Linked DNA regions of Struthio camelus. The protein of the gene in region 3 interacts with the protein of the main gene of each other region in a pairwise test. Links are inferred from orthologs where the notes say so. Each region holds a gene or a part of one and is shown on either strand. Other genes may lie near its edges.

The links.
Region 1: the proteins of EEF1A1 (region 3) and HSPE1 interact in a two-hybrid assay, tested with the Homo sapiens proteins (2 studies listed by BioGRID and IntAct, with this or other methods). The link is inferred for Struthio camelus from reciprocal best matches to the Homo sapiens genes EEF1A1 and HSPE1.
Region 2: the proteins of EEF1A1 (region 3) and IKBKG interact in a two-hybrid assay, tested with the Homo sapiens proteins (2 studies listed by BioGRID and IntAct, with this or other methods). The link is inferred for Struthio camelus from reciprocal best matches to the Homo sapiens genes EEF1A1 and IKBKG.
Region 4: the proteins of EEF1A1 (region 3) and LAMTOR5 interact in a two-hybrid assay, tested with the Homo sapiens proteins (2 studies listed by BioGRID and IntAct). The link is inferred for Struthio camelus from reciprocal best matches to the Homo sapiens genes EEF1A1 and LAMTOR5.

The regions. Positions count from the first base shown.
Region 1 is NC_090947.1:11,797,977-11,805,119, reverse strand, and holds the start of HSPE1 (10 kDa heat shock protein, mitochondrial), read left to right. Parts: upstream 1-4,132; 5' UTR 4,133-4,360; coding exon 4,361-4,363; intron 4,364-6,177; coding exon 6,178-6,342; intron 6,343-7,143. Other genes in the region: HSPD1 (60 kDa heat shock protein, mitochondrial), read right to left, coding at 2,521-2,694. UniProt on the Homo sapiens protein: Co-chaperonin implicated in mitochondrial protein import and macromolecular assembly. Together with Hsp60, facilitates the correct folding of imported proteins.
Region 2 is NC_090979.1:45,538-53,445, reverse strand, and holds the start of IKBKG (NF-kappa-B essential modulator), read left to right. Parts: upstream 1-4,903; 5' UTR 4,904-4,918; coding exon 4,919-5,138; intron 5,139-6,456; coding exon 6,457-6,673; intron 6,674-6,744; coding exon 6,745-6,792; intron 6,793-6,876; coding exon 6,877-7,000; intron 7,001-7,153; coding exon 7,154-7,263; intron 7,264-7,335; coding exon 7,336-7,476; intron 7,477-7,559; coding exon 7,560-7,656; intron 7,657-7,908. Other genes in the region: G6PD (glucose-6-phosphate 1-dehydrogenase), read right to left, coding at 56-291, 363-549, 735-828, 917-1,042, 1,122-1,277, 1,364-1,581, 1,665-1,773, 1,865-1,902 and 2 more. UniProt on the Homo sapiens protein: Regulatory subunit of the IKK core complex which phosphorylates inhibitors of NF-kappa-B thus leading to the dissociation of the inhibitor/NF-kappa-B complex and ultimately the degradation of the inhibitor.
Region 3 is NC_090944.1:42,400,605-42,408,592, forward strand, and holds the start of EEF1A1 (elongation factor 1-alpha 1), read right to left. Parts: upstream 3,008-7,988; 5' UTR 2,724-3,007; intron 1,865-2,723; 5' UTR 1,817-1,864; coding exon 1,673-1,816; intron 806-1,672; coding exon 626-805; intron 483-625; coding exon 186-482; intron 1-185. UniProt on the Homo sapiens protein: Translation elongation factor that catalyzes the GTP-dependent binding of aminoacyl-tRNA (aa-tRNA) to the A-site of ribosomes during the elongation phase of protein synthesis.
Region 4 is NC_090965.1:4,483,349-4,490,550, forward strand, and holds LAMTOR5 (ragulator complex protein LAMTOR5), read right to left. Parts: upstream 2,699-7,202; 5' UTR 2,598-2,698; coding exon 2,563-2,597; intron 2,451-2,562; coding exon 2,389-2,450; intron 1,484-2,388; coding exon 1,366-1,483; intron 889-1,365; coding exon 828-888; 3' UTR 515-827; downstream 1-514. Other genes in the region: PROK1 (prokineticin-1), read left to right, coding at 4,839-4,928, 5,927-6,052. UniProt on the Homo sapiens protein: As part of the Ragulator complex it is involved in amino acid sensing and activation of mTORC1, a signaling complex promoting cell growth in response to growth factors, energy levels, and amino acids.

The DNA.
Region 1 (7,143 bases), on a different chromosome or scaffold from region 3:
CGTGGAAGTCCCCTCTTCTGGCCCATTGGTTCCAACCTAGAGCTGACCACGCTGGCTGCTGCCGAGCACCGCGGTAGCTGATCACGTGCCAGTGTGGCGTCAGCTCCAGCAGAGCTTCCATCTCAAGCCAAACGGGCTAAGGACTTGATACGGTACGTTAGCGCTGCAGCGCACTGCGTTGCTCCTCAGTTAGAGGAACGTCGCACTTGCACGCGGCCTATCCCCATCTTACTCAATGACTTAACTAATTTTGGATGCCCGCTCTGCAAGAGGCGGTACTGCTTCTGAAGTACAACTAACCCTAGAAGCAGCAAAGGAAACGTTAAGCTTCAGTTAATAGCTTTGAATTTACGAGAGAGCTTACATATTTGTAAGTCTGTGTTATGAAAGAATCACAGCAAAGCAAAGCTTAATGCAATTTCTTCCTGCTACTTCATTCAACCTGCACTACTGTTAAATCCAAAAGTGGTTCGAAACCTAGAAAACTACTTCCGGAGGATCCTGCTACTGATACAACTCTTCATGTAGTACTTCCTTATCTTCCTTAGCTTCATTCTCTATTTCCACCTGCTCTTACTCAAAACGTTTGTTTGGTAGCCATGAGGAGAGCAGCAGAATGAAATTTTTATATCCAACCACAGTAAACGAGCTGAACAGGCCCTCCTTTATCTGCAAGTATTCTTGGATAAAAGAACAGTGGCAGTAAACATACCAGTACTGTGAGTGATTCTGCATATCAAGAACTCGAGCACTTACATAGATAGATCTGCTCTGACAAAGTAATCGATCTGTTGGCAATGATTTAAAAAAAAAAAAAAAAAGGAAGCAGCAGCAGCAGCATTGTGCAAGATCGCAAATTACAATTCTTTAAGCACAGAATAGGACAAAAGGGAAGTTTTCTCAGCAGTTTAATATTTCTTAAAAATGCCGAAAACTGAAATAGGCATTAACAGTATAAACCCTAACTGCTCTATGAACATATGGAGAATAACACATAAATCAAAGTGAAAGCACTGGAATATAAAAACCCACAAGGTTACAATAGGTTGCATCAGAAACTGTCCTTTAACCAGTGCATTAAAACCACCCTTAAACAGTTGTAACGTCAGCTGATGCAAAACAACAGTTTCATCAACTGAGCCACTGAAAACGTGTTCCTTTTAGGAGAACTGTACCTAGGGAAAACAGCCACAGCTTGCTGAGTTCACTGTTCCTTTATCTTCACCTGCTCAGTTCATTGCATTTTTGCCTTTGAATAAAGCTAAAAAAAGGTGCAGAAATGTGTAAGTAAAAAGTTAAGTAATCTCACAGGGGCCAAGCAGCCTTGAGAAGAACTACCATGCATATACTGTTAGGATATGCTTTGACCTATCTACTTTGAACGTGGATTTTATTAACTACTGTGTATAATAATAACAATAAAAAGGTCTTTCCACGTGAAAGTTGTACTTAACAACTAAGTAAAAAAAAAAAAACTAAGTAACTTTAGTAAAAACTAAAAAACAAGCAAACTGCCTGTATTAAAAACATTCACAAGCAGTGAATGACAGAACGTGTTCACTTTAAAAGTGAGGCAAAACTGTAACTATATAATTTACTCCTACCAGGGAGCTAAAATAATTCACTGTAGCTACTCAGTAAGGCGAAGTAACTGAAGAACTGCAGTTTGCAACCACTTTCACCATTGTTCCACATACACCACTAACACCTGATCAATGCTACCTCATGACAAGTCAGAAATCCCTAAGAAATCCTTACTGAGAGCTAACTTGAAACAGATATTCCTGAGAGCCTGAAGAAAATCTGCATCTCCTCCTTTCAGAGCAGTTTCATTTCAAGACCTACGGCATGTTGTATGACTATGCAGAACACAGCAGCTACTTTTCCAAAAACCTGAACTTGAAAGGGGGATCATACACTACAAATCTTTTCTATACATGGTACAAATTAATGCCACTGACATGGATGTTTCAATACCTTTTAAAAACTGGTAACATTTACCTGCAATGAAAAACTTGCTGTTATGCTTTTAATGTTTCTCTCACCTTGTTAATACTACTACACGATGCGACGATAACAGAAAATAATTTCTTTCAAAAGAAAAAAAAATCACATATTAGCTAAACTACCTCAGGATGCAAAGAAAATTATAAGCAGTCAAATTATCAAGGGTACTGTCATAGGCTACCAACTCAGCTATAGTAATCAACTGCGCACGCGCTCTTATTCTGTTTTGCTTTATACTGTTTAAGCAACTATGCTGCACTTTTCATAGGAGTCAAACGTACTTTCCTTCACGACTATGAAGGACACGTCCACTATTATCATGGCTCAGCTGACAAGATGAGAATATGGCTGCTTGCAGTGGTCTGTCCACACTCCTTCTCCTATCCTTGTCTTGCAGATATGGAGATGGAAAACATGCAACTCTATCTAGGAAAAGTGACAACTGTTTTCCACTGTTATATTTTCGTCCACATCAAAGCGTTAACATAGTACAAATGCAAAACCTTCCATTACCTTTGGCCCCATGGTGACAGCTACAGCATCTGCTAGAAGATCTACTCCTTGAAGCATAAGAGCTCGGGCATCTGCTCCAAACTTAACATCTTTTGCATATGCTCGCGTTAGATGGGGGGCCAGTGCTCTGGACACTGGCCTTGTCCGACGGAGTAGTGTAGATAAACGAAGCATGTCTAAAAGATTAAAACACCACCACAGAAAGATATGAATACCGTGTCCTTTGCACGGCGACTTTTAGAATAAAAAGGGGAAAAAAAAACCTCCCAAAATTGAGGTAGTAAAGCAAGTGACCATGACCTTTCATTTTCCGATTGTTTCGAACGCAGACATACAATTACCTGAGGGTAAGAGAGCTCGGGCGCCCAGCTCCTCAAGAGGAGACCTCAGCTCCAGCAGCTCCTCATGGAGCAGCCTCCAGCACCTCTGAGCTCCTCCCGCCTCGCTTCTCCCGGCTGTCGGGCGGGAGATGGCCAGGGCGCTGTAGCACACAAGCCGTTCCGTTTGCCAGACGGATCCATCCCCTCAGGCAGCACCACTTCACCGGCAAACGGGGGCGGCCGCGCGCACCCGGGCGAGCGGGGCGCTTCAGGGTAGCGCCCTGACGGCGCGGCCCGGCGAGGCCCCAGCGCCCGACCCTGCCTCCCACGGGCAGCCCTTGCTCCGGGGCGAGAGGAGGAGAAGCAGCCGGGCGCGGCCGCGGCGGGCAGGAGAGGGCCGCCGGCCACGTGTCTCCTTCCATCAGGACACGCGCAGCAAGGTCAACAGCCGCTCGCCCCCTGCCGCCGGGCGGGCCGCGCTGCAGCGCCGCGGGGCCGCCTGGTCCGCCGCGACCCCCGGCCGAGCACGAGCACGGGCGCGGAGCGCCCCTCCCCCCGCCCCCCCCCCCCGCCGCCGCGGGGGGAAGCGCACGAGCCGCCGCAGGGCCCCGGGCTGGGCGCGCGCACGCGCTGGGCGCAGGCGCGCGGCCCCCGTCCGCAGCGCGCGCCGCTCTGAAGGCGGCCGCAGCGCCCCGCGTTCGAATCGCGAGAGCCGTTGCAGGCGGCGCGCGCCCCTAACGGCCGCAACCGCCGCAACGCCCAAAAGGCAGAGGGCAAGGGGCGAGGGGGCTGCGCACCCGACCCACTGGCATCCCCCCCGTCCCCGGGCAAGGCCGCTCCGCGCCAGGCCGAGCCCGGCCGGGCCCCGAGCAGGGGCAGCCCCACACGCTCACCTCTGTGCAAGGCGGGGGAGAGCGGCAGGCGGCTCCGCCGTCCGGACTCGAAGCGGAGCGGGCAGATCTGCGCGCGAGCCCGGGAAGGCGCTCAGCACTCACTAGCTCGGCCCCTCCCCCGGCCAGGCAGCCACCCATGTGGGGCTCCGCGCGGCCCAGCCCGGGAACCAGCATAGCCGCCGCGGCCCCGCCCCTGGCGCGGGCGCACGGCCGCAGCGCTGCGGCGCCGCCCGCCCTCCGCGCATGCGCCCTGGCGGCCCGGCATGAGCCACTCAGGTTCCGGGGCCCGCCAGTTCCAGAACCTTCTGGAACGCTCATGCTCGCCGCGGGTCAAAGGTGACGTGACCTCACTTCCGGGCCGGCGCGGGGCCCCGGGGCCCGGCGGGCCCCGTGCGGCGCGGGGCGCGGTGCCGTTGCAGCGGCGGCCGCCCTGCGCGGGGGCCGCGGGCCCGGCGGGGAAAAATAAACGGCGGAATCGCGGCTCGGGGGGGCGGAAGGGCTCCGCCTCGGGGCGGGCCGCGCGGGGTGGGGGGGAGGGTTGCCGCGCGCATGCGCAGGTGGTGACCTTTTTCACGTGTGCGCGGCGCAGGCCCGGGTCACTCGGTGGCGGGGAGCGCGGCGGCCGCCATGGTGAGTGAGTGCCCGCCCGGCCGCCCGCCCGCCGCGGGGGCTGCGAGGGGCCTGTGCTGCTGCCGCCGCTGCCTAGCAGCGGGCGGGGGGCCGCGGCTCTGCGCCGCCCGGGGGCCCTGCAGCGCCCGCCACTGCTGCGGGCGCCTCCCCGGGCCGGCGGCGGCGGCGGCGGCGGGGGGGGTGCGCGGCGCGGCGGCTCGGCTCGGCGGGCGCGGGGCCGTTTTGGGAGCCCGTTGGGAGCGCGGCAAGGGCAGCGCGCCCTTGGGGCGAGACGGGCCGCTCGGGAGCCCCGCGGGCGGGCGGGCGGGCGGGGTGCGGCGCGGCGGCCTGGCCCCCGAGCCTGGTGGCACAGAAGCCAGAAAGGCGCTTGGGGGTTCAGCGCCTGTGCTTGGCGAGCTTGTGCGGGTGGAGCTCGCCGCGAAGAGCAGCGGGGCAGGGGCAGGGGCGCCCTTACCGTGGAGCTGGAATTTTTTTCCTGTGTTCGCATTTTCTAATTCGGTGTAAAATATCCGTGTTCATAAGTCTAATTGCTTATTTCCCTTAAGCACAGGTCACTTGAAAAATAAATGAAGCTCAGAGCTGTTGTTTTCATAACTGGCAGCCTTTTCCATTTGTGCGGGTTTTTTTTTCTTCCACGTTGTAGTAGTAGCAAGTTTTTTTGGGGGGAGGGGGGAAATGGGGACAGCATCTTTTGTTTACTGGGCTTTGTGTTTGTCCTGCCTGTAACTTTTGAGGCATTCCTGATTTTTTTTAAAGCATGAGAGTGTATAACGATGGGTCTCGGGGAAGGGACCTTGGATGCTAGAACCTTCTCTGAGTGGGCTCTGGATACCTGTCTAGTGGAGCGCTATCTCCACGTGACTTGGCAAGTCTCCAGACCTTTGCTCTTCATCAAAGCATGTTCCTTATCCCTGACTCTGCACTTGCATTTAGTCTGTGAGAATGCAGCTACTGTTGCTGAAATGCAGCCAGTAGCAGCAGTAGGTAGTAGCAAAAAAGTTAACTCTTAAGCAGAGGTAGCTGTTGACTAGTTTCCTACATGAAGGAAAAGCAGCCAACACACAAATGTGCCTAGCTGCTTATTCTTGGGGGTTTACAAAAACCTTCACTTTTTTGCAAAGTTGTAGTCTATTTGTAGAACTCAGTAGAAAAAAACTACACTCTCACTTCAGACTTCAAACTTTAGAAGCTGTAAATTGTTATATGAAATGCTAAGCTTTGAAAATACCTGAAAAATACACACAGTACATGCTAGATTTTGCTTTTTTACTATTAAACGTTCCAGTACAGCCGATAAAAATGCCCCCAGAAAACTAGCCCGAGAGGTCCTTCATTAAATCTGGTTGTGACTCAATAAATACATTTCATATACTCATCAATAGTGATGCTAACTAAATTACAGGAGCACTAACGGTTTAGAATCGAGCAGCTTAAAAGCTGATGGAATTTTCCAGCCAAATGAGAAGGCAGCTCCATCTGGTGGTGATTTATGATGTTAGCTGGAGTACATCTTTGTATGGCTGAAATCTTAGGACTGCCCAGGGTGTGCCTGTTAATTCTGCTCAAGAGAGAATTGTTTCTAGGCTTGAGATACAGAACACCTGCGGTTCAACTTTGCTTGTTTCTTTAACTTTTTTTTTTTTGCTGCCATTAAAGGTTGCATATACTTGCCACTATTAAGAACAACTACCCAGCATCTTTCTTAAATTCTTGACTTCTCTTGGAAGATAAACCACTGTGAGGGTTTGAACTTTTTTATTGCCATTTTTTTTTTGTAGTGATCTTCCTGTTACAATATACAATTCCTTTCACAGGCAGGAAAGGCATTTAGGAAATTTCTTCCCCTCTTTGATCGTGTTCTGGTTGAACGATGTGCAGCTGAGACTGTAACCAAAGGAGGCATCATGATTCCAGAAAAAGCTCAAGGGAAAGTGCTACAAGCAACAGTAGTGGCAGTTGGATCGGGAGCCAAAGGAAAGGTAAATGGATCCAACTTTGGGTAGAGTTGGTAATGGTGTGGTGGTAGCTGGAAGCTTAACATAAAGGGATCGGTTGCTGTATAAATTTGGTTACACTTCATGACAACAAATGAGGATGATGAGATTCCTACCGCCTCTCTTGAGTCTGCACTTCAAACTTCACTCAAGTGTCCACCCTTTCCTCATTGGCTCTGACCTTGAATTCCAGCCTTCCTCTTGCTTCTAAAATGGGAAATAATGGCTTTTCAAAAATGAATGTTATTTATTGATATTTACAAGCAGCATTAAACAGTGGGAGGCTTTTTCAGTTTTGAATACTTAAACTATGATTTTCTGGGATGCCTTGTCTGATCACCTTTCAGGTGAAACGTATGGGATTGGCAGCTTTATTTCTTCAACTGCTGCTGATCGCATGCCTGAATTCCTGTAATTTGTGAGCAGGGTGGAATCCCAGAATGTGGTATTCTGTGTCTTAACGCGGTGCAAAATATCGTTGCCCGTAAGCATCAGTTAGGCTTACTGGACAAAAAGAAAATTGGGAATCAAAAATAACTGTTAGGTCAGTTTTCTTGAATTTTACGTGTTAAAAAAACAGGTCTAGGATCATAAAAAGGATAGTGACAGTCTTGACTTCGTTTCATAGTCTTAATCGGCCTGTGGGCTTCAACGTTTCAAGTTTTTTTCCCCACCAAAGAAAGTATCCATTTAGTAGTAATAGTGCGAAATGTGTTTAAAATTTAACTTGTGCATGTTGACTCAGACTCTTTCTTTACCTTGAGTCCTTCCATAGATACTGAGACA
Region 2 (7,908 bases), on a different chromosome or scaffold from region 3:
GGCGGGGGACAATTTGGGGACCCCGTGAGGGGGGTTTTTTCGGGGGGGGGGGCACCTTGTAGCGGTTGCCGTAGGTGAGGTCGAGCTCGGACTCCTCGGGGTTGAAGAACATGCCGGGCTTCTTGGTCATCATCTTGGTGTAGACGGCCTCGTCGGGCTGCACGCGCACCACCAGCTCGTTGCGCTTGCACTGCCGCTGGAAGATGTCGCCCGGCACGTCCCGAAACTGGAGCCGCACCTCCGCCTTGCGCTCGTTGAGGGCCTTGCCGCAGCGCAGCACGAAGGGCACCCCTGCGGCGGGGCCGGCGTCACCCTCGGGCGGCCCCCGGCCCGGCCCCGGCCCCGGCCCCGGCCCCGCTCACCGTCCCAGCGCTCGTTGGCCACGCGCAGCACGGCGGCGGCGAAGGTGGCCGTGGTGGAGCCGGGCGGCACGGTGGCGTCGTCCAGGTAGCCCCTGCGGGCTTCGCCCTCGCCCCGCGGGTCGCCCACGTACTGGCCCAGCACCACGTCCTCCGGCCGCACCTCCGCGATGCTCTTGAGCACCTTCACCTGGGCGAGGCGGCCGTCAGCCAGGCGCCCCCCCCCCCCCCCCCCTCGGGAACAGGCCTCCCAGCCCGCCGGCGCCGCTTCGCGACCGCCTGAAGGCCCGGAGGGTCGCCGAGAGCCTGGGGGCGGCGGCGGGGGGCGGCTCGGGAGCCCACCAGAGGCTGCGGGGCGGGGGGGGGGGGGGGCACCTTCTCGTCCCGCACGTCGTCGGGGTCGGTGGAGGCCGGCTTCTCCATGGCCACCAGGCAGAGCATCTGCAGCAGGTGGTTCTGCATCACGTCCCTGCGGCGAGACGCGCCGTTGGGGCAGGGGGGCCGGGGGGGGGGCACCGCCGCGGCCCCCCCGCCCGCCGCCCCCGCCGCTCGCTCACCGGATGATGCCGAAGTCGTCGAAGTAGCCGCCGCGGCCCTCGGTGCCGAAGGGCTCCTTGAAGGTGAGCACGACGCAGGCGATGTTGTCCCGGTTCCAGATGGGCCCGAAAATGCGGTTCCCGAACCTGGCGGCGGGTGGGTGGGTGGGTGGGTGGGGGCCGCCCGGACCCCCCTTCCCCCCCCCGCGGGGCGCCCGGCCCCCACCTGAGCACCATGAGGTTCTGCACCATCTCCTTGCCCAGGTAGTGGTCGATGCGGTAGATCTGGTCCTCGCGGAAGAGGCCGCTGATGTGGTCCGAGAGGGCGTTGGAGCTGGCCAGGTCGCGCCCGAAGGGTTTCTCCACGATCACCCGGTTCCAGCTGAGCGAGGCGGGGAGGAAATCGCGGCGCTTAGGGTCGCGGCGGCGCCGCCGGGACCCCCGGCCCCCGTCCCGCCGGCGGCTCACCCCGGCCCCATGCAGGCCTGGCGGATGTGGCGGGTGACGGGCTCGTAGACGCTGGGCGGCAGGGCCAGGTAGAAGAGGCGGTTGGCGCGGGCGCCGCCGGGCAGGGCCCGCAGGTGGGCGTCGAGGCGCTCGAAGGCGCCCGCCTCGCCGTACTGCCCCGCCACGTAGCTGTTGCGGGCGAAGAAGGCGTCGAGGCGGGGGCCGTCCTCCGGGGAGGCCTGCGGAAACGGGGTGGGGGGCATGTCAGCGGGGCGGCGGCGGCGCAGCGGGGGCGGCGCGGGGGCGGCGGCGGCGGCGGCACCTTGAGGTAGGGCTGGCTCTGCTGGCGGATCTGCGCCACGCTGAGCGGCGTGCGGGCGAAGCCCACCACGTAGGTGTCGTCCGGCAGCAGCCCGTCCCGGAAGAGCCACCTGCGGGAGGAGGACGGGCAGCGTCGGCCGCCGGCGGGGGCAGCGAGGGCACGAGCTCGGGGGCGGCGGCGGCGCGGGGGGGGGGCCCTACCAGACGGTGGGGTAGATCTTCTTCTTGGCCAGGTCGCCCTGCGGGGGAAACAAAGAGTCGCGGGGCTGAGACCGGCCACAACTCGGTCCCGCGATGGCCGGCCCCAGCCTTCCCCCCCCCCCACCCACCCCGCTCTCGTTAGCGAGGGGGATTAACGAAGCGCGGGGAATGTGCTGAGTCAGGGGTGGCGGCGGGGCAGGGGGGAGCAGGGACGGGACGGCGGGGACGGCGGTGTCCCCGCCCCGGCCGCCGCGGGGTTACACAACGCCTGGGGTAGGCGGAGCGGGGGAAGGGGGGGTGTTTAATTAAGGGGTGTTGGGTAACGAGGCGTCCGGGCGCGGCGGCCCGGCCCCACGTGGGAGCCCGGCCCCGGCACGCCGCCGCCGGCTGACGGGGAAGCGCAGGAAGCCGCTTATCTCCGGCAAACACCGATAGCAGGGGGGAATCCTCACCCCCCCCCCCACCGTGGGCCCAGGCGTCTGGGCAACCCCCCCCCTCCTCTCACCTCAGGGGACCCAGGCGTCCGGGCCCGCCTCCCCCCCCCCCCGCCATAGGGAAAACGAGCATCCCGGCAGCCCTGTCCCGTCCCACCGCCCTCAGGGGGCCCAGGCGTCCGGGCACCCTTGCTCACATCCCCCCCCCCAACCCAGGGGTCCAGGTGCCCCCCCCATGGGGCCCAGGTGTCGGGGCAACACCCCCCACCCCCCCGATACCCCGGGGTCCAGGTGCCCCCCCCACCCCCAACGGGGCCCAGGCGTCCGGACAACTCACCCCCCCCGATACCCCGGGGTCCAGGTGCCCCCCCCACCCCCAACGGGGCCCAGGCGTCCGGACAACTCACCCCCCCCGATACCCCGGGGTCCAGGTGCCCCCCCCACCCCCAACAGGGCCCAGGCGTCCGGACAACTCACCCCCCCCGATACCCCGGGGTACAGGTGCCCCCCCACCCCCAACAGGGCCCAGGCGTCCGGACAACTCACCCCCCCCGATACCCCGGGGTCCAGGTGCCCCCCCCACCCCCAACGGGGCCCAGGCGTCCGGACAACATCCCCCACCCTGATACCCCGGGGTCCAGGTGCCCCCCCCATGGGGCCCAGGCGTCCGGACAACATCCCCCCCCCCCCGATACCCCGGGGTCCAGGTGCCCCCCCCACCCCCAACGGGGCCCAGGCGTCCGGACAACATCCCCCACCCTGATACCCCGGGGTCCAGGTGCCCCCCCCATGGGGCCCAGGCGTCCGGACAACATCCCCCCCCCCCGATACCCCGGGGTCCAGGTGCCCCCCCCACCCCCAACGGGGCCCAGGCGTCCGGACAACCCACCCCCCAGTACCCTAGAGTCCAGGTGCCCCCCCCAATGGGGCCCAGGCATCCGGGCGAAACCCCCACCCCCCCCCGATACCCAGGGGTCCAGGTGCCCTCCCCCCTCCCTCCAGGGACCCAGGCGTCCGGGCACCCCCTTCCCGACGGGGCCCAGGCGTCCCGACACCCTTTCCCTCCCCCACAGAGAAGTCAGGCCACCAGGGCCCAGGCGTCCGGGGCCGGGACGCGATGCTCCATCTTCTTCCTCTTCCCCCCCCACCACCACGCCCCACACGTAGGGGACCCAGGCGTCCGGGCCGGGAGCAAGCCCCCGCCCCCGCCAGCCCCCCGGCTCACCGAGGCCCCGAGGATGACGAAGACGTGGGGGTCGCCCTGGAGGAAGGTGTCGTCCCGGCACAGCTCCTGCCGCAGCATCCCGCACACCTCCGACCGGCTCAGCTCCTGCCCCGCCATGAGCCCTGGGGGCGACGGCCAGGCGGGGCTGGGGGGGGGGGGCCGGCCGTCGCCGCCTCCTGCCCCACCTCCCGCCCCCTTCCCTCCCGCTATTGCCCCACGGCTGCCCCCCAACACCCCCGTTATTGCCCCAGCCCCCCCACTGCTTCCCCCTCTGGCCCCTGTAAACCCCCCACCCCCTCCCACTGCCCCCTAGACCCCCCAACTGCCCCAGACCCCCCCTTGCCGCCCCCAAATACCCCCTTTTACCCCCCAGCCCAGCTACCTGCTATTGCCCCTGACCCCCCCTTGCCCCTTCTCACCCCATTGCCACCCCCCCTTGTCACCCCCGCTCCCTATCACCCCCCATTTCCCCTAATCGCCCCCAACCCACCTGCCCCCGTTTTCCCTCATTGCCCCCCATTTCCCCCAATCGCTCCCCAGTTTCCCCTACCTGCCCCCATTGCCCCCAATTGCTCCCTATTTCCCCTCATTGCCCCCTATTTCCCCAATCACCCCCTATTTCCCCCGACTTCCCTCATCTGCCCCCCATTTCCCCCTATTGCCCCCCATTTCCCCCTATTGCCCCCCATTTCCCCAATCGCCCCCCAATTTCCCCCCTGCCCCTATTGCCCCTCATTGCCCCCCATTTTCCCCAATCACTCCTCATTTCCCCCCATTTCCAACTGCCCCCCCGCAATTACCCCCACCTGCTACCTCCTCCCCGCCCCCCGCCTCCCATCCCCCGCCTAATTACCCCTAATTGCCCCGCTAATTACGCCCCGCCCCGCCCCCACCTGCTCCCTCCGGCCGCGCCGCCGCCGCTCCCCTCACGCTCGCGCGGCTCCCCATTTTCCCCGCGCCGGCCCCGCCCCACCGGCCCCCCTCTCCCGCGCCGGCCAATCGCCGCGCCGCACCCCGCCGTGCCACCAATGGGAAGGGCCCGGAGGCGGGGCCTCGCTCACCGCCCCGCCCCGCCGGCCAATGGCAGGCCCCTCCACCGCCCCCACGCGGCGGGCTCTTGCGGGCGCAGCCAATGGGCGGCGTCGGGGGGCGGCCCGCGGCGTATCCCCCTCCCCCCCGCCATCCGCCGTGCGCCATGACACCTACCGAGGCGGAAGTGCTTCGGTGCGCTCCCGGCGGCGCTTCCGCTTCCGGCGGCGCTTTCGCTTCCGGCGTCACTTCCGCTTCCGGCAGAGGCCGGAAGGGCGGCCGGGCAGCGCGGCGCTCGCAGGCCCGGGCGGCCCTCGGCGCCCCCCGCCGCTCTCCCCTCGGCGCCCGGTGCCGGCAGGCGGGCGGATGAGCGGCGCCCGGTGGCGGCGGCCCGCGGACATGGTGCAGCCCGGCGGCGGCGGCGGCGGCGGCCCCGGGTCGGGGCCGGCGGCGGGGCCGGAGCCGGGAGCGGCGGCGGCGGCGGTGGAGGAGGAGGAGGCGGCGGCGGCGCCGGGCCGGGCCCCGCCGGAGCCGGGCAGCCCCGAGGGGCTCCAGCGCCTCCTGGCCGAGAACCGTGACCTCAAGGGTGAGGGGGGACCTGGGCCTCCGGGGGCGGCGGCGCTGGGGGCCCTGGGAAGTACTGAGGGGTGAAACTGGGCAGACTGGGAGGTACTAGGGAGCAAGACTGGGGGGCTGGACTAGGGGTACTGGGAGACACTGGGAGGTGAGTCGGGGGGGACTGGGAGCTGCGGGGGGGCTGGTCTGGGGGCACTGGGAGGCACTGGGGGGGTTAGACTGGGAGGAACTGGGGAACTGAACGGGGAAGCACTGGGGGGGTTAGACTGGGGGGACTGGGAGGTACTGGGGAGCTGGACTCGGGAGCACTGGGGGGGTTAGACTGGGGGGACTGGGAGCCGCTGGTGGGTGAATCTGGGGGGCTGGACTGGGAGGCTCTAGGATGCTGGGCTGGCACCCAGGGGTGCCAGGTCAGCGGGGCCGAGACCCCCGCTGACCCCCCCGCCGTGTACCCCCCTGCAGAGGCGCTGCGGCGGCGCTGGGGTGACTGGGGGGCGCTGGGGGGGGCCGAGGCCCCTGCTGACCCCCCCCGTGTGTCGTCCCCCCCCCCGCAGAGGCGCTGCGGCGGCGCTGGGGGGCGCTGGGGGGGCCGAGGCCCCGCTGACCCCCCCCCGTGTGTCCCCCCCCCCCGCAGAGGCGCTGGGGCGACTGGGGGGGCGCTGGGGGGGCCGAGCCCCCGCTGACCCCCCCCCGTGTGTCCCCCCCCCGCAGAGGCGCTGCGGCGCAGCAACGAGGCGCTGGGGGCGGCGCTGGGGTGACTGGGGGGCGCTGGGGGCGGCGCTGGGGTGACTGGGGGGCGCTGGAGGCGGTGCTGGGGGGGCCTCGGCCCCCGCTGACCCCCCCCCGTGTGTCCCCCCCCCGCAGAGGCGCTGCGGCGCAGCAACGAGGCGCTGGGGGCGGCGCTGGGGTGACTGGGGGGCGCTGGGGGTGGCGCTGGGGCGACGGGGGGGCGCTGGGGGCGGCGCTGGGGGGGCCTCGGCCCCCGCTGACCCCCCCCGTGTGTCCCCCCCCCCGCAGAGGCGCTGCGGCGCAGCAACGAGGCGCTGGGGGCGGCGCTGGGGTGACTGGGGGGCGCTGGGGGCGGCGCTGGGGTGACTGGGGGGCGCTGGGGGCGGCGCTGGGGGGCCGAGGCCCCCGCTGACCCCCCCCCGTGTCCCCCCCCCCCGCAGAGGCGCTGCAGCGGCGCTGGGGTGACTGGGGGGCGGCGCTGGGGTGACTGGGGGGCGCTGGGGCGGCGCTGGGGCGACTGGGGGGCGCTGGGGGCGGCGCTGGGGGGTGCTGGGGGGGCCTCGGCCCCCGCTGACCCCCCCCGTGTCCCCCCCCCGCAGAGGCGCTGCGGCGCAGCAACGAGGCGCTGCGGCGGCGCTGCGACGACTTCCGCCGCTGGCAGGCGGCGCAGCGGGACGAGCGCGACTTCCTGCTGGGCCGCTTCCGGCAGGCCCGGGCCCTGGTGGAGCGGCTGCGCGCCCGCCCCGCCGAGCCCCCCCCCGGCCCCCCCGAGGGGCAGCGGGAGCAGGAGGAGCAGCAGGAGGCGGCCGCCGCCGGGTGAGGCCGGGGGGCCGGGGGGGGGGGCACGCCGCCGGCCGGCCCCCTCCTCACCGCTCTCCCCCCGGCAGGAGCGCGGCGGAGCTGCTGCGGCGGCGCCTGGCGGCGGCCGAGGCCGAGTGAGTGGGGCGCCGGGGGGACGGGGCGGGGGGGGGGGACGCACGCGGCGGCCCCCCCCGACGCCCCCGCCCTGCCGCCCGCAGGCAGGCGGCCCTGCGGCAGGCGCTGGAGGCGGCGCGGGAGGCGCGGGCGCGGGCCGAGAGCCGGGCGCAGGAGGCGGCGCGGCAGGCCGAGCTGCAGCTGCAGGCGCTGCGGCGGCAGCTGGAGGTAGGTGACGCCCCGCCGCCGCGCCGGGTGACGCGACGCCGCCGCGCCGGGTGACGCCGCCGCGCCGGGTGACGCCCCCGCCGCGCCGGGTGACGCCCCCGCCGGGTGACGCCGCTGCGCCGGGTGACGCCGCCCTCCGCCCCCCCGCCGCAGCAGGACAAGGCGTCGGTGAAGGCGCAGGTGACCTCGCTGCTGGGCGAGCTGCAGGAGAGCCAGAGCCGCCTGGAGAGCAGCCGGCGGGAGCGGGGCGAGCTGGAGCACAGGTGGGGGCGCGCGGCCCGGCCCCCCCCCCGCCGGCCCCCCCCCCGGCCCCGGGGTGACGCTGTCGCCGGCAGGGCCCGGGCGGCGGGCGAGCGGTGCCGGGCGCTGGAGGAGGCGGCGGCCGCCCACAGCCTCCAGCTGGACCAGCTCCGGCTCCAGGTGCAGAACCTGGAGGCCGCCCTGCGGGTGGAGCGCCAGGGGGCCACCGAGGAGAAGTGAGTGACGCCGGGGGGGGGGCTGGGGACAGGCGGGGGGGGGGCGCCCGCCCGGCCCCCTCCTCACCCGCCCCGGCCCTCAGGCGCAAGCTGGTGCAGCTGCAGGTCGCCTACCACCACCTCTTCCAGGAGTACGACACCCACATCAAGGCCAGCCTGGGGGACGACAAGCGCACCCAGGTGGGCGCGGGGTCCCCACGGCGGCTCCCGAGCCCCCCTTTCGTCCCCTTGGGGACCCCAGGGTGGCTCCTGGTCCCCTTTCTGGTCCGCTCAGAGCTCTGGGTGGCACCAGGGTGGCTCCTGGTCCCATTCTGGTCTCCTTGAGGACCCCAGGGTGGTTCGTGGTCGTCTTGGGGACCTCAGGGTGGCTCGTGGCCCCCTTTCTGGTCTCCTTGAGGACCCCAGGGTGGTTCGTGGTCCTCTTGGGGACCT
Region 3 (7,988 bases):
AATTATCTGCTGGTTTTGATGACATAAGACTAGACTAAGAATTTGTCGAGTGGCACGATCCGATTTTGAGCTCAGCACCCACAAACTGAACTTAAACTACCGAAACATATGCATGTTTTACTATTACATGAACTAATAAGATTACTGAGGATCAATTAAGTTCTTAATACAAACGTCAAACCTACGTTAGAGCTAGGCTCCAACATGTTGTCTCCGTTCCAACCAGAAATTGGCACAAAAGCTACAGTGTCTGGGTTGTAGCCAATTTTCTTGATGTAAGTGCTGACTTCTTTAACAATTTCTTCGTATCTCTTCTGGCTGTAAGGTGGCTCGGTGGAATCCATCTTGTTAACACCAACAATCAGCTGTTTCACACCCAGTGTGTAGGCCAGAAGGGCATGCTCACGGGTCTGCCCGTTCTTGGAAATACCAGCCTCGAACTCACCAACACCAGCAGCGACAATCAGGACAGCACAATCAGCCTTTGAAAAGAAAGAAAGAAAGAAAGAAAAAAATAGTAACATCAACTATGAAGTTTACATACGTGTCTGTGTGTTAAGATACACACAAACAAAAAAAACACCCCACTCCCAAGCTCCTAAAATCCTTAGTTCTATTTACATACCTGAGAAGTTCCAGTAATCATGTTCTTAATGAAGTCTCTGTGTCCAGGAGCGTCAATGATGGTGACGTAGTACTTGCTTGTTTCAAATTTCCACAGGGAAATATCAATAGTAATACCACGTTCACGTTCAGCTTTCAGCTTGTCCAAGACCCAGGCGTATTTGAAGGAACCTTTGCCCATCTATCGATTAAGAAAAAAATTCAGTGTTTTTGAAATACGTACTTAATTTTGTTCAGAAAAATCACGAACTGAGAGACACTACCTAAAGGGCAAAAATCTAAAAATAAGAGTAGCTTATACTGGTAAGTGTTGTTGCTTACAAAACTCTGGCCTAGATTCATCTGGCACTACTAGTGACAGATGCCAACTCGTTTTGTTATTTAACCTGCTGACACTTTTAGTACTCTTGACAGCTTGTTAACTGTACTAACACATTACAAGTTAAACCTTGTAAAGCTAAGCTCTCCTATCAAGTGTCCTTCAGAAATTTTTCTTTTCTTAGTAATGCAATCCCCGCCACAATCAAACATCTAAACTGCTTCTCACACTAGCTTTAGTATGTTTCACGTGTAAAATGTTTGCTAAGACCTGATCTCCAATATTACATAGAAAAAGGATGAATAATTTGTTTAAGATTAGCATTCTACAAGCTCCAGTGCTGAAGTGCAGGCACTCCTGGATTTTCCGGTATAAGAGCAATCATAACAACTGCTTTAATTTTATCCTCAACTAAACGCACACAAAGACTTAAGACGGGAACTGCACGTTAGCTCCAATCCCAGACTATCGTTACCGTCGTTATGTAGATGCTACTTGTTCTTCTGTTCTGCTCGTTTCAGCATCAATAATTTGAGCGGGGGCCAACTAACAGAATGCGCAGATTCAAGAGATACAAACACTACTGCTTTTTCAACTATGGGCACAATTTCAAACCAGCGGCCCGCAAAACAGTACATTCGCAATTTATCAGCTTAGTTTTGCGACTGAACTTCTCTTTGTTCACCCACGCTCCCTTTACGTGCTGCTGGATGTTGAAGGCCCACAAACCTCAGCAGCTTCCTTCTCGAACTTCTCAATGGTCCTCTTGTCAATGCCACCACACTTGTAGATGAGGTGGCCAGTTGTGGTGGACTTGCCAGAATCGACGTGGCCAATGACGACTATGTTGATGTGGGTCTTCTCCTTTCCCATTTTGGATGTTTAGTTAAGCTCTTTCTTTCGGCAAAAGAGAATCGACACCTAAAAGCCAAAAAGCAAGCAAACAAACAAAGAAGTAAAAACGAAGTCACGACCACAGGTTTCCCCACCGCAGCCCCGTTCGGTGACACCCAGGGGAGCAGTCGAAAGGGGGCACCAGACCGTGATGGCGGCTCCGCGCGCGCACGCGCGGCGTCCTCGCGGCCGCGGCTCCGCCCCGCCGGGAGAGGGGAGGAGCCGGCGGGCGGGAGCAGGCCGGGGGCCCCTCGGCGGAGGCCAGCTCGTCGCCCCCCTCCCCTCCTCTCCCCGCACCGCGGCCGGGGCTCGAGTTACCCCCCGGCGGCCGGGGAGCAGGGCGGCGGCGGCGGCGCGGGCGGCTGACGGGCAGCGGCGGAGGGCGGGGCCCGGCCCGCTCCTTTGTGTGTGACTCACCCCGCCCGGGCCGCCGCGTCCTCCATTTTGTGAAGTTCGCAGCCGGCAGGAAAAGCGAGCGGCCATTTTTTTTTTCCTCCGCGCACCCCGTCCTCCCCTCCCCCCACCGCCGCCCAGCCCGGGGCACCACCCGGCCGCCCGCGCTCCCGGGCCCGGCTCCCCCACGCCGCCTCCCCTGCCCGCGACCACCCCCTCGCAGCCAGCGGCCGCCACGGCCCTCGGGGCAGCGGCGGGCGCCTCGCGCCTCCGAGAGCGCGTGCGCGCGCCCGGCCACGCCGCTCCGCAGGCCCCAGCGGCGACGAGGAGGCGACGCGCCACCGCTTCCCCAGCGCCGCCCGCCCCTCACCCCGCGGATCCCCCTTCCCCGGCGGCCCCCCGCGCGCGCGACGGCTCGCTCGCTCGCCCGCCGCGTGGGGCCCCGCCGGCCCCTCCCCCTCCCCCCGGCCTGCCCCGCGCGGGCGCGCCTCACCTGCCAGGCGGCGACGGCGGCGGCGGCAAACCCGGAGCGAAAAAGACCGACGGCGTGAGCGGCTCCCCTTATATAGGCTGGGCGGGGGGGGCGGCGCCTAAGCGACACGTCACCACTCCCAGCGTTCCAGCGGCTCCGCCCCGGCAGCGCCGGCCCCGAGAGGCAGCGCGGGCAAAGGGCGCGGCCGCCGAGGCGGGCAGCGGCGCGCAGCCGCCGGGGGCTTCCCCGCCGCGGACTGCGGCCTCGGCGCGAAGGGCGCCTCGCGGCCCTCCCCGCCGCGGAGGGAGGGAGGGAGGGAGGGAGGGAGGGAGGGAGGGAGGCTGGGCTCGTCGCGCCCCGCCCCGCCCGCCGCCCGGCGGCGCCCGCGAGCCCCTGCCGCCGGCTCAGGCGGTTGGCGAGCCGCAGCCCTGACCGAGCGAGTGGGGGCGGCCGGGTCGAGGGCGTCGGAAGAACGGGCATCGGCCAAGAGCTCCAGCAGCCCTTGGCGTGCGTGGGTGTGAGTCACGAGTTGCACCAACATCATGAAAGAATAGAACAGGCAGGCGCAGGTCAGGGTGGGACAGAAAGGTGAGGGAGGCACAGGGATGACTGCTTGACTACGCCATTGCTGTTGGAGAACTACAAGGAGCTTAAGAGCTGGCTGGTCTTCATCATCCCTGGCCCTCAACATACACGGTGGGGGGGAAGGGACAAGCTTAAAACTTCTTTCTTTTCTCCAAGATGACCGCAGCAGCAGCAAGGGGAGCGGAGAGATACAGCAGGGTTTGGTTGAGCCAGATTTCTCCTCTGGACCCTCCCACACATGGAGAAGATGGGGAAGAAAAAGTTGTACAGATTGGATCAGTACCAGGTCCAGCACAGGGACATCTAGCAGCTAAACCAAGCCCTGGAGAATGGCCCCAGGCACCCTCATTATGTTTCTTATTAGAGACACAAAGGAACTCAATCAATGAGATCAGAACTGTCGTTCAGTCTGAGTGGCACTCGTTCAGTCTGAGTGGCACTCGCTAGCCTAAAGTTGCCAGTTGCTTGAGATACTGGAAAGGAAGAACCCCTCCAGCTCATTATATCCCAAGTGCCCCAGGAACGGAGGTGGGGAGAGAGAGCGAGCGAGCAGGAGTCCAGGGAACCCCGTTACACTAGAACAGGAAACCACGTAGTCTGGCTTTTTAAAAAGATTTTTCTTTTTTTCTGGCACCATTGCGAGAAAAAAAGTTAAAAGGTTTTTTTCGCACAAAATACCAGTCAAGATGGACATGCTTTAAGACAGGCTGCATCTGAAATGGAAAGGCTTCAGGTGTGACCAAAGAGAATCACTTACACATTTAAGAAATACGACTTCTGTGTGCAAAAAACCCCAAATTGCATGAAGTGCCCTCGTGCTATTTTTTGAGAGGTCAACATTTATGAACAAGAGAACTACTGGATGGCCTGGCTCCCTCAACAAGTCCTCATGATTCCAACGGATTGAATTGTTTTCTGATTCCTTCACTCCTAAACGAGACAAGAAAACCCATTACATATTCAAATCTCAGATACCTATTAAAGAGAAATTAAAAAGATGAATATTTTCACATGGCCCTTTAAAAAGATGATATCTGCGAAGAAAGAAAGAGTGCATGCTCTATTTCCTTCTCCAGGTACTTTAAACACCTCCATTAGAGGCCATTGCTTAGATATGCCCAACTGCAGTCTTCAGTAGAGCAAAGTCAACAAAACCATTCATTCGCTGCAATGTTCTCCAGATTGGAGTAGTAAAGCGTGGAAATAGTTTCTTTAAAAAAACCCAACAAAAACAAACAAATTCACCCTACTTCATGGGTTGATGTACAAGTGAAATGTTTCCATAAATATCTGGTATTTTTCCACATCCACAATTAACAAAAATTAGGCTGTAAAAATAATTTGAAAATGTCATGTATTAAACAGGCTGTTGAGTTTAGAAAACACCTTTTACACACACACACACACACACACACACAGCCTCAGTTTCACTGAGTAAAAGCCTGCAAAAAGATTCAGATATTGTTAAATAAAAATCACACGCTGACAGCTTCAGTTTCACTGAGTAAAAACCTGCAAAAACGTTTAGATATTGTTAAACTCACTATTTTTTAGGAAAGGAATAAAGTTAAAGTTCTTTCTCTCCAATGTTTTTTAGGAGGAAACGGGTAGCAGCTAGACAGAGTTCAACGTTCTGCAGAACTAACATTTAGGTGAACAGAAATGCTGTTAAGAAGCGAAGAAGTTTCATATGAAGACACAGTAATGGGGGGGGGGGAGGGAAATGGATCACTTTTTTGAAACAGAACTTTCTATTTTTCAAAATTAAAAATATCCATGACCATAAAGTAATTTAAAGGCTCAGGTTGATGACAAAAGGGTAATTAACATTTGGTAAGGAAGATAAGCAGCGCTTTTTGGGTCTCCTGTAACGCGAAGACAGCTTGTAAACGCAAGCTAAAAGGAGTACTATTCAGGATGCTTCAAAGTTAGCTTCTAAAATGGGTATTTCAGTAGAAAGTATTTTTAGTGGACTGATCTGTCAAAGGATCCATTCTAATAAAAATAGTTTAAAACTTTCAATAGGTATCAGTTCCTTGTGCTTCAACAAAGGGAGGAGAAAGGAAATATTTTACTGATTTCTTACGTGGCCCATAATAAACTGGACTTTTTTAAATTTTAAAATAACTTATTTTAGAAGTCTTTTTTTAAAATGAAGCCGTTTGGAACTACGTATTTCTTAAGACAGGAATTTCTGTGGTATGTATGTGGCTGAAAGTCTACTGAATTTGTTGTACAACCTTTTAATCATGGTCCTGATTCAAGTCCACAACAGTTTTTTCCTCCATTTATTTAACTGAACTTTGCACAAGAATTTTATTATTTCCTCCTTAATCGGTCCAATGCACGCTTTTATTCTCTCAACAACTGGCATGTCTTTCATTGTCCATTCTATTCGCGGAACATTCCTATTATCAATCTTGCAAATATTTATACAGCTGGGCAGCTTTCAGATATATGAGTAGTCTCACATAATTCAGTGGAAATACATTCTGAAGAATCCTCTCAAACAACTAACACAGATAGGCATTTACTGGATTAAATCCTGGATGCAAATAGCCTGTTACATATTTCTGATTCTGTTCATTAGACAAAACTATTCTCTTTGATACGAAAGGCTTATGAAGAAACGAAGAGATTTCAAGAAGTCAAGATCTTTCAGGCTTTGGAGCAGTCCTTGTAAAGTCTAGCCCGACCATTGCTGGAAGGGCTTTGTGGGGGGAAAAAAATTATTCATTCTCCCGTGATCATGGTTGAGCATATGCTACACTGAAATAACTCATCCTCATATATGCCTGCAGTGTTAAGAATACACAGAAGTGTTCTCCAAAGCTTTAACATTGTAGAAACCTATGGAGTAGCCACCTTTGCAGAAAGTCCTGACTCTTAGGTCAAATAGTACTGAAACGAAAGTTACGCTGTCCACATATCTAGGCCAAATATTCTAACCAGCGTAAAAATAAATGTTTACTAGATTTGGAGATCAAACTAGCTACTACAGTCTTATTTTCAATTTAATACATAGCTATAGAGAGTATACTATAAATGTAAAATAAGGTCAGTGAAATCACGCTAGAAAATAAAAGATGTTCTCATTGAGCGCCTCGATAATTTTAATGTTCGCTTCCACATGCATGTGGAAGTGGCATCTTTTTGATCAGACCCTTGCAAAGGTGCAGGTAGCACTTACATAACTATTCTAATTGCAATGAGCATGGTCATTCATAAGTGAGAGTAAACACAGGCTTTATAAACACAGTTTAAGGTGTTGGGTTTATCAGATCTGTATTTATCAGAGCTCACGATATATGGAAGAGACGCTAAGATTTCCTGAGGGCACTTTCAGAAAGACTGGTGGAAAAATACCAAATTAAAAATACTAATTGGTGATTAGGAAAAAAGAAAAAAGATGGTGCACTACATTATTCTGCAATACAGAATAATTTACAGAATAATTTAACCTCATAATTTACAGAATAATTTAACCTCATACTTACTATGACGTACTTCCTAGTTCCTGCTGTATGTAACTATGTTGGTCCAAACGTTCAACATACATTATAGGATGAGCACACAGCTTTACTTCCATCTATAAATGCACTTCAATGCCTTGGTTCCTGCTAGAAGTAGAAAGCATCTATATCTGTTAAGAAATCCTTTTCCCTACATCATCCTAATACTTATTAGCAGATTTAACAGTCATCTCAGTGTTTATTAGAACAATTAATAGACTAATGGTGTTATTTACACACCAAGAGATTAGACAGAGAATATGCTTCAAAACTTGAACTGAGCATGGTTAGGTAACTGAAACTTCTTGAAGAAGCTAGCTTTTCAAATCATTTAATATGAGTAACGAGTATTTTTATATATAAACAAGTTAGTTGGTAGAGGGAAGAGACAACAATACATACACTTTAAGTTACAATCTTAGCAGAGCACAAAATAAAACCAGCCATCCGTGGAGGTTCTCAAGACCAAACTCGATAAAGCTCTCAACAACCCGGCCTGATCTCGTAGCTGATCTTGCTTTGAGCAGGAGATTGGACTAGAGACCTCCCGAGGTCCCTTCCAACCTGAATTATTCTATGATTCTATGGAAGATGCTGTTACACGTTGTAAAGTATTTCAGGTGACCGCGTCTACAGTTTTCACATCAATCTGTTGATACAGTTAAATATAATTGCTTTTGTTCAAACAGATGCTTATACTACTTCTATTACTGTTGTTTGCATGCAGTCCTAGTATTAATCAGTTCAAATTTACTGGAAGTAATTTTTGGAAAGATTTCTAGACATGATGAGCTCTTGTAAATACCACTAAAATCCATAGAAAAGGTGAGTGCTCAACACCTTTAAAATCAGACCTTTACTACCTCATGCTTCTGAAGAACCATTTCATTCTCTTTACTCAGTATATCGGCACAGCTGATAAAAGCTATCCAGACGTGGAAGTTAAAATTCACACTGGCAATGCAAACAAACCTCCCTCCCCCCCTCCCCCCCCCCCGAAATATCCAGAGAAAACTCTCTCTAATCAAAGAAAGACAACAAAGAATTGAAAAATGTGAAGTAATAAATCACAAAGGGTAAATTCTTAACGCAGGTTACATGTGTACATTATAGGATGTTTTCGTTTCTATTAGACTCTTGACTCAGTCTGAGGCAGATGATCTGGCAAAACTGCATCCCAAAGCAGAGG
Region 4 (7,202 bases), on a different chromosome or scaffold from region 3:
CTTAGGCTTAAAGCTGTAATCTCTGTTTCCCTCTCTTAAATACATAGGCAGAATTTGAGTTTACCAGTACTGCAAGGGGCAAAGGCTTCCTGCAGGATTGGTTCCCAGCAGCATTTGAAATGCTTGAATCTGTAAGGTGAAAACTGGCCTGGATTGGTGAAGGTGTAATCAACATCCAGTTCACGCAGAGCGGGGGCAGGCAGCACAGCCAGGGCAAACAAGTTTCAGTTTGAACTTCAATCCAAGGCATGGTAAGCAAGTAACCTTCATGCAGGAAGTTTAACCAGAGGAGGCTAAACATTTCCTAGAAAAAAATTCCTAGGAAAGTTTTTGTGCCTTTTCCACTGGAGGAGCCTCCCTTAATTCAACTCTTTATGCACTGCTCCATTTATCTAGAGAAATGCTGAGGAAGAAGGGTTTGGAGGAGCTACCTCACCTGGCTCTGGAAACAGCTCCCTGACTTCTGTCAGACCAAGAGGCAACAGTTTTTGCAGCAGGAGCAGAGAGAAGCAAATGCAGGTTTTTGCAGGTCATTTATTGATTTCTCTAACAAATAAGGCCACACACACACACGCGCACACCTCGTATTGTCTGATCATTACACAAGCTTGGCCGGTGACCCACATTTCATTCTTGGCAGCATGACCGCTAGAATGCGAGTTGAAGAACCCGATAGCTGCACAGGAGCTGTTAAGTAAAGAGGAAGAGCCTTCAGGCCAGATTTGGTTCCTACAAGCACGTTCTGCATTGGAGCAGCAGAGGAGAGTGGTTGTCCAGTGAGGAAGAGCTGGTTTGGAGGTGGGAGCGCTGCACAGGTTCCCGAGAGGTCAGGATGCCAGCTTGTGCACTGCTACAGTGATGCTGTCGTGCTTCTGGATCATGATATTCCTAGAACAAAACAAAACAAAAAAACCGACAACAAAAAAGTAATGTTTGAGGCAGTTAAGCCAGCTGCAGTGATGACGAAGCTCTGACTCGGGTGGGAAAGCAGACAGCGGTATCATTTCGTGGCTGCAGCAACCCCCAGCTGTGTGCTAGACCTGTCCTTTGCCTACCACACTGGCAAAAACAGTGGCTGAGGCTACAGGATGGGCTTAATTATCCATGTAGATGCCAAGTGGGGAAGAAGCATAGAGCTGGAGTAGCCACCAGCCTCTGAGAGGCTTCCTGCTGCTTCTCCAGTTCCTGCTACTGGAGATCCCATTAAACTACTGCTTTCATGTGCCTGTGTCGGCATCTAGGCTGAGATGGGGCTTCCTCCGTGTCTGCCAGTTCAGCTTGAGAGGAGGAAAGTCTCCAAGGCTGAAGCGAAAGGCAAAGGGAGAGAAAAGCAGCGCGGCGGATGCGCCAGGCCCGGCCGCTCACCCGCTGTCCGACTCCAGGCACACCACGGGCGTATCGGTCGGGTCGGAGGTGAGCTTGGCTGCCTGCTGGGCGAGGACGGAGATGACGCCGGCGTGCTCGTCGGAGAGCGTGCCTCGGCCTACGGGACGGCGGAGAGGCCGGGTGAAGCCGCGCTCGCCGTGACGGTGCTGTGGGGCTGCTCCAGCCCTTCGCCTTTGCCGCCCTCCCTGGGCCTCATGTCCCAAAATGTGTGTGTGTGGGGGGGGAGACTTCAGTGGGGCAGGGCCTGGGTGGGAGGGCTTTGGCAGGACTGAGTGACCCCAAATGAGGGGAGCTGGGGCAGGACTGGGCCCGATGTCCCCAAATTGGTGGGGGGGGGGGGGAGAGGTCCAGCAGGGCAGGGCCTGTTGCCCCCAAACTGGGGAGGGGGGAGGCAGGGCCCGGTGCCCCTAAATTGGGGTGAGGGGGGGAGGCAGGGCCCGGTGCCCCCAAACCGGGGTGGGGAGGGGGAGGCAGGGCCCAGTGCCCCCCCCAAACCGGGGTGGGGAGGGAGGCAGGGCCCGGTACCCCCCCTAAAGCGGGGTGGGAGGGGGAGGCAGGGCCCGGTACCCCCCCTAAAGCGGGGTGGGAGGGGGAGGCAGGGCCCGGTGCCCCCCCAAACCGGGGTGGGGAGGGGGAGGCAGGGCCCGATGCCCCCCCAAACCGGGGTGGGGAGGGGGAGGCAGGGCCCGATGCCCCCAAACCGGGGTGGGGAGGGGAGGCAGGGCCCGGTGCCCCCAAACCGGGGTGGGGAGGGGAGGCAGGGCCCGGTGCCCCCCCCAAACCGGGGTGGGGAGGGGGAGGCAGGGCCCGGTGCCCCCAAACCGGGGTGGGGGGGAGAGGCAGGGCCCAGTGCCCCCCCCAAACCGGGGTGGGGAGGGAGGCAGGGCCCGGTGCCCCCCAAACCGGGGTGGGGAGGGGGAGGCAGGGCCCGGTGCCCCCCCAAACCGGGGTGGGGGGGAGAGGCAGGGCCCGGTGCCCCCACACGGGCGCTCCGCTACTTACACCCCAGGTTCAGGCCCTGCGAGTCGGTGCACAGGACGCCCACGACGGCCGGGCTCTTCATGCTGCGGGGGCAGACGGCGGTGGGTGAGCGGTCAGCGCAGCCCCGGTGCCTCCCTCCCCCCTCCCCCTCCCCAAAACATCCCCCTCCCCCGGTTCCCCCCCCCCCCGGCGCACGTGTCCTCCAGGTGCTGCTCCAAGCTCCCCTCCATGGCGCCCCGCCGCTTCCGCCCTGCCCCGCCGCTCCTGGCGGCGGCGTCGCTCACGTGACGCGCGCTGGCGGACGGCGGCTCCGCGGGGCCGAAAGGCGTCGCTACGCGAACGCGGGCGGCACTCGCTGCGCTGGCGGCGCGGGGCGGCGGCTCCCCCAAAACCGCGCCCGCTCTGGCCGGCACCTCCGGGGCCGAGAGCCTCCCGGCAGAGCCCTGCGCGACGCCAGGGACCAGCCACCATCCGAGGGAGGATGCGCTGCGGGGGCTCAGGGAGCCGCTCGGAGCCCCCTTAAAAAAGGGCAGAACAGCCTTTTCCCCCCAAATAATGAGTGTGGGTTTTTTTTTTGGGGGGGGGGCACAAACGATAGAGGGAGAAATCTCCCATCCGGATGCTGGCGGCTGCAGCACTGGGATAACTGGGAGCGCTGGTGCTGCCCGCATCTGGGGCTTTTGCAAGGGAGCCCTCCCAAAACACAGCCTCGCAGGTGGCGAGGAGGAGGAGGAGGAGGAGGAGGAAGATTTACAACCAGCGCGTCCGCATTGCTAATAAGGCACCGGCTGGAGCCGCTTTGGCCGCCGCCGCTCGCTGCCTCTCGGCTTGTCAGGGCGGAAAATTGAAACGTTATTGATGGGAGAGGCGAAGCCCAGAAATATCCATTTTTCTCCTGGGGGAGCTGCAAAGGGGTCCGGCGGCGGCAGCCGGGCTCCGCGCGGCCCTGCTCGCCGGGAGCCCGCTTTTGGCCCTAGCCTTTCCCAAGGCGGCGGGGGGTTTCCACCTTGGGAAACGACGCGGAGCAAAAAGGCACGTAGCCACCGGGCTCTGCGTCTTCTCTGCCCCGCGGGGACCTTTGCAAGGAAATGGGCCCAAACCAGCAGGTTTCAGGCCATTCCCTGCCCTGAGACTTCAGTGTTTCTGGCTCAACAGGGGCAATTTAGGGGGTTGGGAGTAATTAATCCAAGAGCGGGTGGACGAGACCTTACCGAAGCGGTAGGACCCGTCAGAACAGCTGCCGCTTCAGAAGAATCGCTCTTCGCCAGCGGAGAAAATTGCCCGGCTATTTTTAGTGTGCCAGCTAATTAAATATATAGACAATTTAGCATCTCACGGAGAGGCTCTCCAGGAGAAATTCTGCCGGCAGCAGAAAAGCCCGAATAAACCCCTCGGGGTCAGAGCGTCACCCCGGGGCTGCTGAGGCCGGTGGCTGGATTTCATTCACGTCCCCAAATCGGCGATGGCAGCCGCTGTTTTTTCAGCGCTTCAGGTTTTGTGGGCGCTCAGCCTGGCGCCCACTTAAATATGAAGCGGCTCCTATTGGCAGCCCTTTTTATTTTAATGTGGGTCTTGACGTGACTCAGTTTCCTCTCCTGGTTTGCTTCTCCTGGGGAACGGACAGAGGGGGCTGAATTCATTAATGCTCACGGGCAGCCTGGATGCTGCGGTGATGGTACCCAATGGCTTGAGGGAGGTGAGGGGGGGACCTTGCTGCGGCCTTGCCAGCAAAAGGTTTTCCCACCGTGGGAAAAAAGTTTTCCCACCAGAAATGCAGCCCAGGTTGCATTCAGCTTGATTCGACACGATTTTGCTGAACAAAAGCCAAAGAGAAACACCGAGGACGGAGAGCGAGGAACAAAAATCAGCGCAAAAAGCCACCGGGCTGCAACGGCACAGCGTCCATCGGGAAGGAGGGGTTTCTAACCCTTTGCACGAACACTGGGGAAATTTTGATGCTCTTTTTAAACAAAACCCCCTTTTTTCAGGTAGGAGAAGGCGCTGAGAGAGCCACCCTGAGTTTCACGGGCCGCTGCGGGAGGGCAGGGTATTTATCACAGGCCACCACTTTATTCCATGCTGTGCACCATGATCTGGGAAGTCCCAGGCTCATTTTTTTTGTCACGTCTTTGGCTTTGGCTGAATAGTCAAAAATTCTTAGTTGAATTCTTAAGTACGTCAGGCAGGGATAAATGTATGTGTCTATAAGTATGCTTGAAAAATCCAGTTGTGTTGGCTTAACTGAAAAATAAGCCCAGGTGACTGGTGATGTTTTATCCCCTGCTGCTTGGGTGATTTATTAATATTTCTTTCCTACCGTTAGCGAGTCAGGTCTCATCTGCTTCTTCTGAGCTCATCCGAAAAAAAAAAAAAATACCCAACTGGCATCCGGGGCAGACGGAGGGGCGTTATATAGGGCGCGAGGCACGGGCGCTCGCGGAGCTGGGTGCGCGGCCGAGCGCCTCGGCACCATGAGGAGGGTCCTGCAGGGCGCCTGCCGCCTGCTGCTGCTGCTGCTGCTGCTGCTGCCGCCGCTCCAGCGGTGCGCTGTCATCACCGGGGTGAGTCGGGGCCCGCCGCCCTGGGGGGCTTCGCGCGTCCTGGAAATCGGGCAGAGTTTGCGCCCGACCGCGGGAGCCGGCCCCGGCCTCCCCCCTCCCCGCCCCGGGCGAGTGCGGAGCAGTGATTTGTGAGTCCCTCTCTTTCTCCCCAAAATGCTCCTCATTTCTGATGTTTTACCTTAAAGCTGTCTTTTTTTTTTTAATTATTATTTTTAAAGCAAGGGACGCGGTGATTTTACCAGCACGCGAATTAACGATTGGCGGTTTGGTCCCAAATTCCAGGGGGGGCGACACCAGGAAAAGCCCGTGCCAGCCGTGAGCGATGCTGCTGAGAGCCGAGGGCTCTGTTTCTGGGGCAAGCTGTTGCTTTAACCTCGCTCTGCAATTCGTCCCCCAGTGCTGCCGAAAGTCAAACTGTCTGTTCAGAGATGTGGAATTAACTCCCTGCCTCTTTTAACCTCTCTTATTTGCAGTGAGCTCCCAAGAAAAAGGGATGGAAAAGTTAGCGACACCTTTCCCTGGTTGCTTCGGGCTTTTTTGCAGGAGTTTATTACTCGCTCTTTCGCTTTTCTTCCTTCAGCAAGTCCGTATTGTTCCTGAATATAAAGTCACTCCGAAGTCTGTTTTTTCTCAATGCCATGTCAGAGCTGGCTCTCGAGGAAATGGGAAAATCCAGGGGTGGAAAAGGGGTCCTGAGGGGCCATGAGCAACCCCAGCGCTGTGCCGGGAGCAAAACGAGCCCCGTGAGCACCGGTCCGGTGCTGGAGGTGCCCCATCAGCTCAGTTTTAGGTGCTTTGGGGCATGATGGCGAAATCTGGCAGTGTTTCCAGCCGCCTGTCGCACATACCCCTGCCGTGCCTCAGTTTCCCCCAGGACGGGCAGACATGCAAACCCCGATGACCAAAATGCACTCCAAAAAAGCTTGGGTGGGGGTTTCCGGAGCGGGGCGGGCGGAGGGGGGAAGGCGGCGGGCGACGGCTGTTCTGCCTCTCCGCAGGCCTGCGAGCGGGACCTGCAGTGCGGGAGCGGGACCTGCTGCGCCGTCAGCCTCTGGCTCCGGGGCCTGCGGATGTGCACGCCGCTGGGACAGGCGGGCGACGAGTGCCACCCCGCCAGCCACAAGGTACCGCCGCCGGGGTCTGCCTCGGGCCGGGACTCGCCCCGCCGGTGGCACCCAGCCGGGCGCCGGGGCTGCTCTCCGGCGCGGGAGAAGAGCGTGGGAAGATCCCTGGGTTGATCCCGGACGGAGGAGGGATGGGGCGCCTGGGACGGGGATGGGATGGATGAAGCCGCCGGCAGCGTTTTGGCCGGCGGCGGAGGGCTGGCGAGGCGGAAACGGCTCCGCGTAGCTGGGAAAAGACCACATCTCCCAGCAGACCCATCTCCCCCCCCCAGCTTGGGGTTCATCCAGGAGGGCAAATCCAAACCAAGCCAAAGCGGGTGCTTGTCGCAAAGCCTTGCGTTTGAAAGCTCCCTGCCTCGGCTTCCCCCCTCCCCGCGCCTGCCAAACTGCAGCGAGCACCTCGGGCGCCTAACAGCGATCTCTGGAGCACGTCGGCTTCAGCCGCATCCTCTAAAGCCCTGCAAAGCCCTGCCCGAAATCCTGCTGCTGCTCCGCGGTGGGCTGCACCCATCCATCAGCAGGTAGCTGGCAGCTCGGCACCCCGGAGATTGAGCTGTGCCTGCCATTTATTTCGAGAAGCGCGTGCCCCGGCGCTCCAAATCGACCCGCAAATGCTCTCTCGAGCCAGGAGAAGCCGAGTTAATGCCTCCGAGGCGGCCCAAGCGCGGCGATTTTGGCCGGCAAGAGGCACAAAACGCGGTTGGCTTATCCCGAAGCGCTGCTCCTGCCGTGGGTGTTCAGCCCACGCCACGGCGATCGATGTTGCCTGCCGGCAGCAAGGCTCAAGGCCGCTGCCGCTCCGACGCCGGCGGGAATCGGGATTTCATTTTGGACCCATCTCCGTTAAACCCCCAAGCAGAACCTAAGATAAATTCTCTGGGCTTAAATCGCCCTTGATATTTTTCTTGCCCAAAGGGAGAAGCGACCCGCCAGCACGAAATCTCAGCGTTTAACTGCAGCCCAGGAGGGAGGGAAGGGAGATGGGCAGACGGGTGGGTGGGTTGAGCAACGAGCGGCAAAGCCTTTCGCCGTCTCCCTGGAGTAAATCCTAGTTTTAAGGAGCTCAGCCGCGGAGTGGCCCGTGAGACACCCGCTGCCGTCAGCACCCCGGCGGGAATGTCCTCGCAAGCGGAGAAAAGCAGTTTTGCCA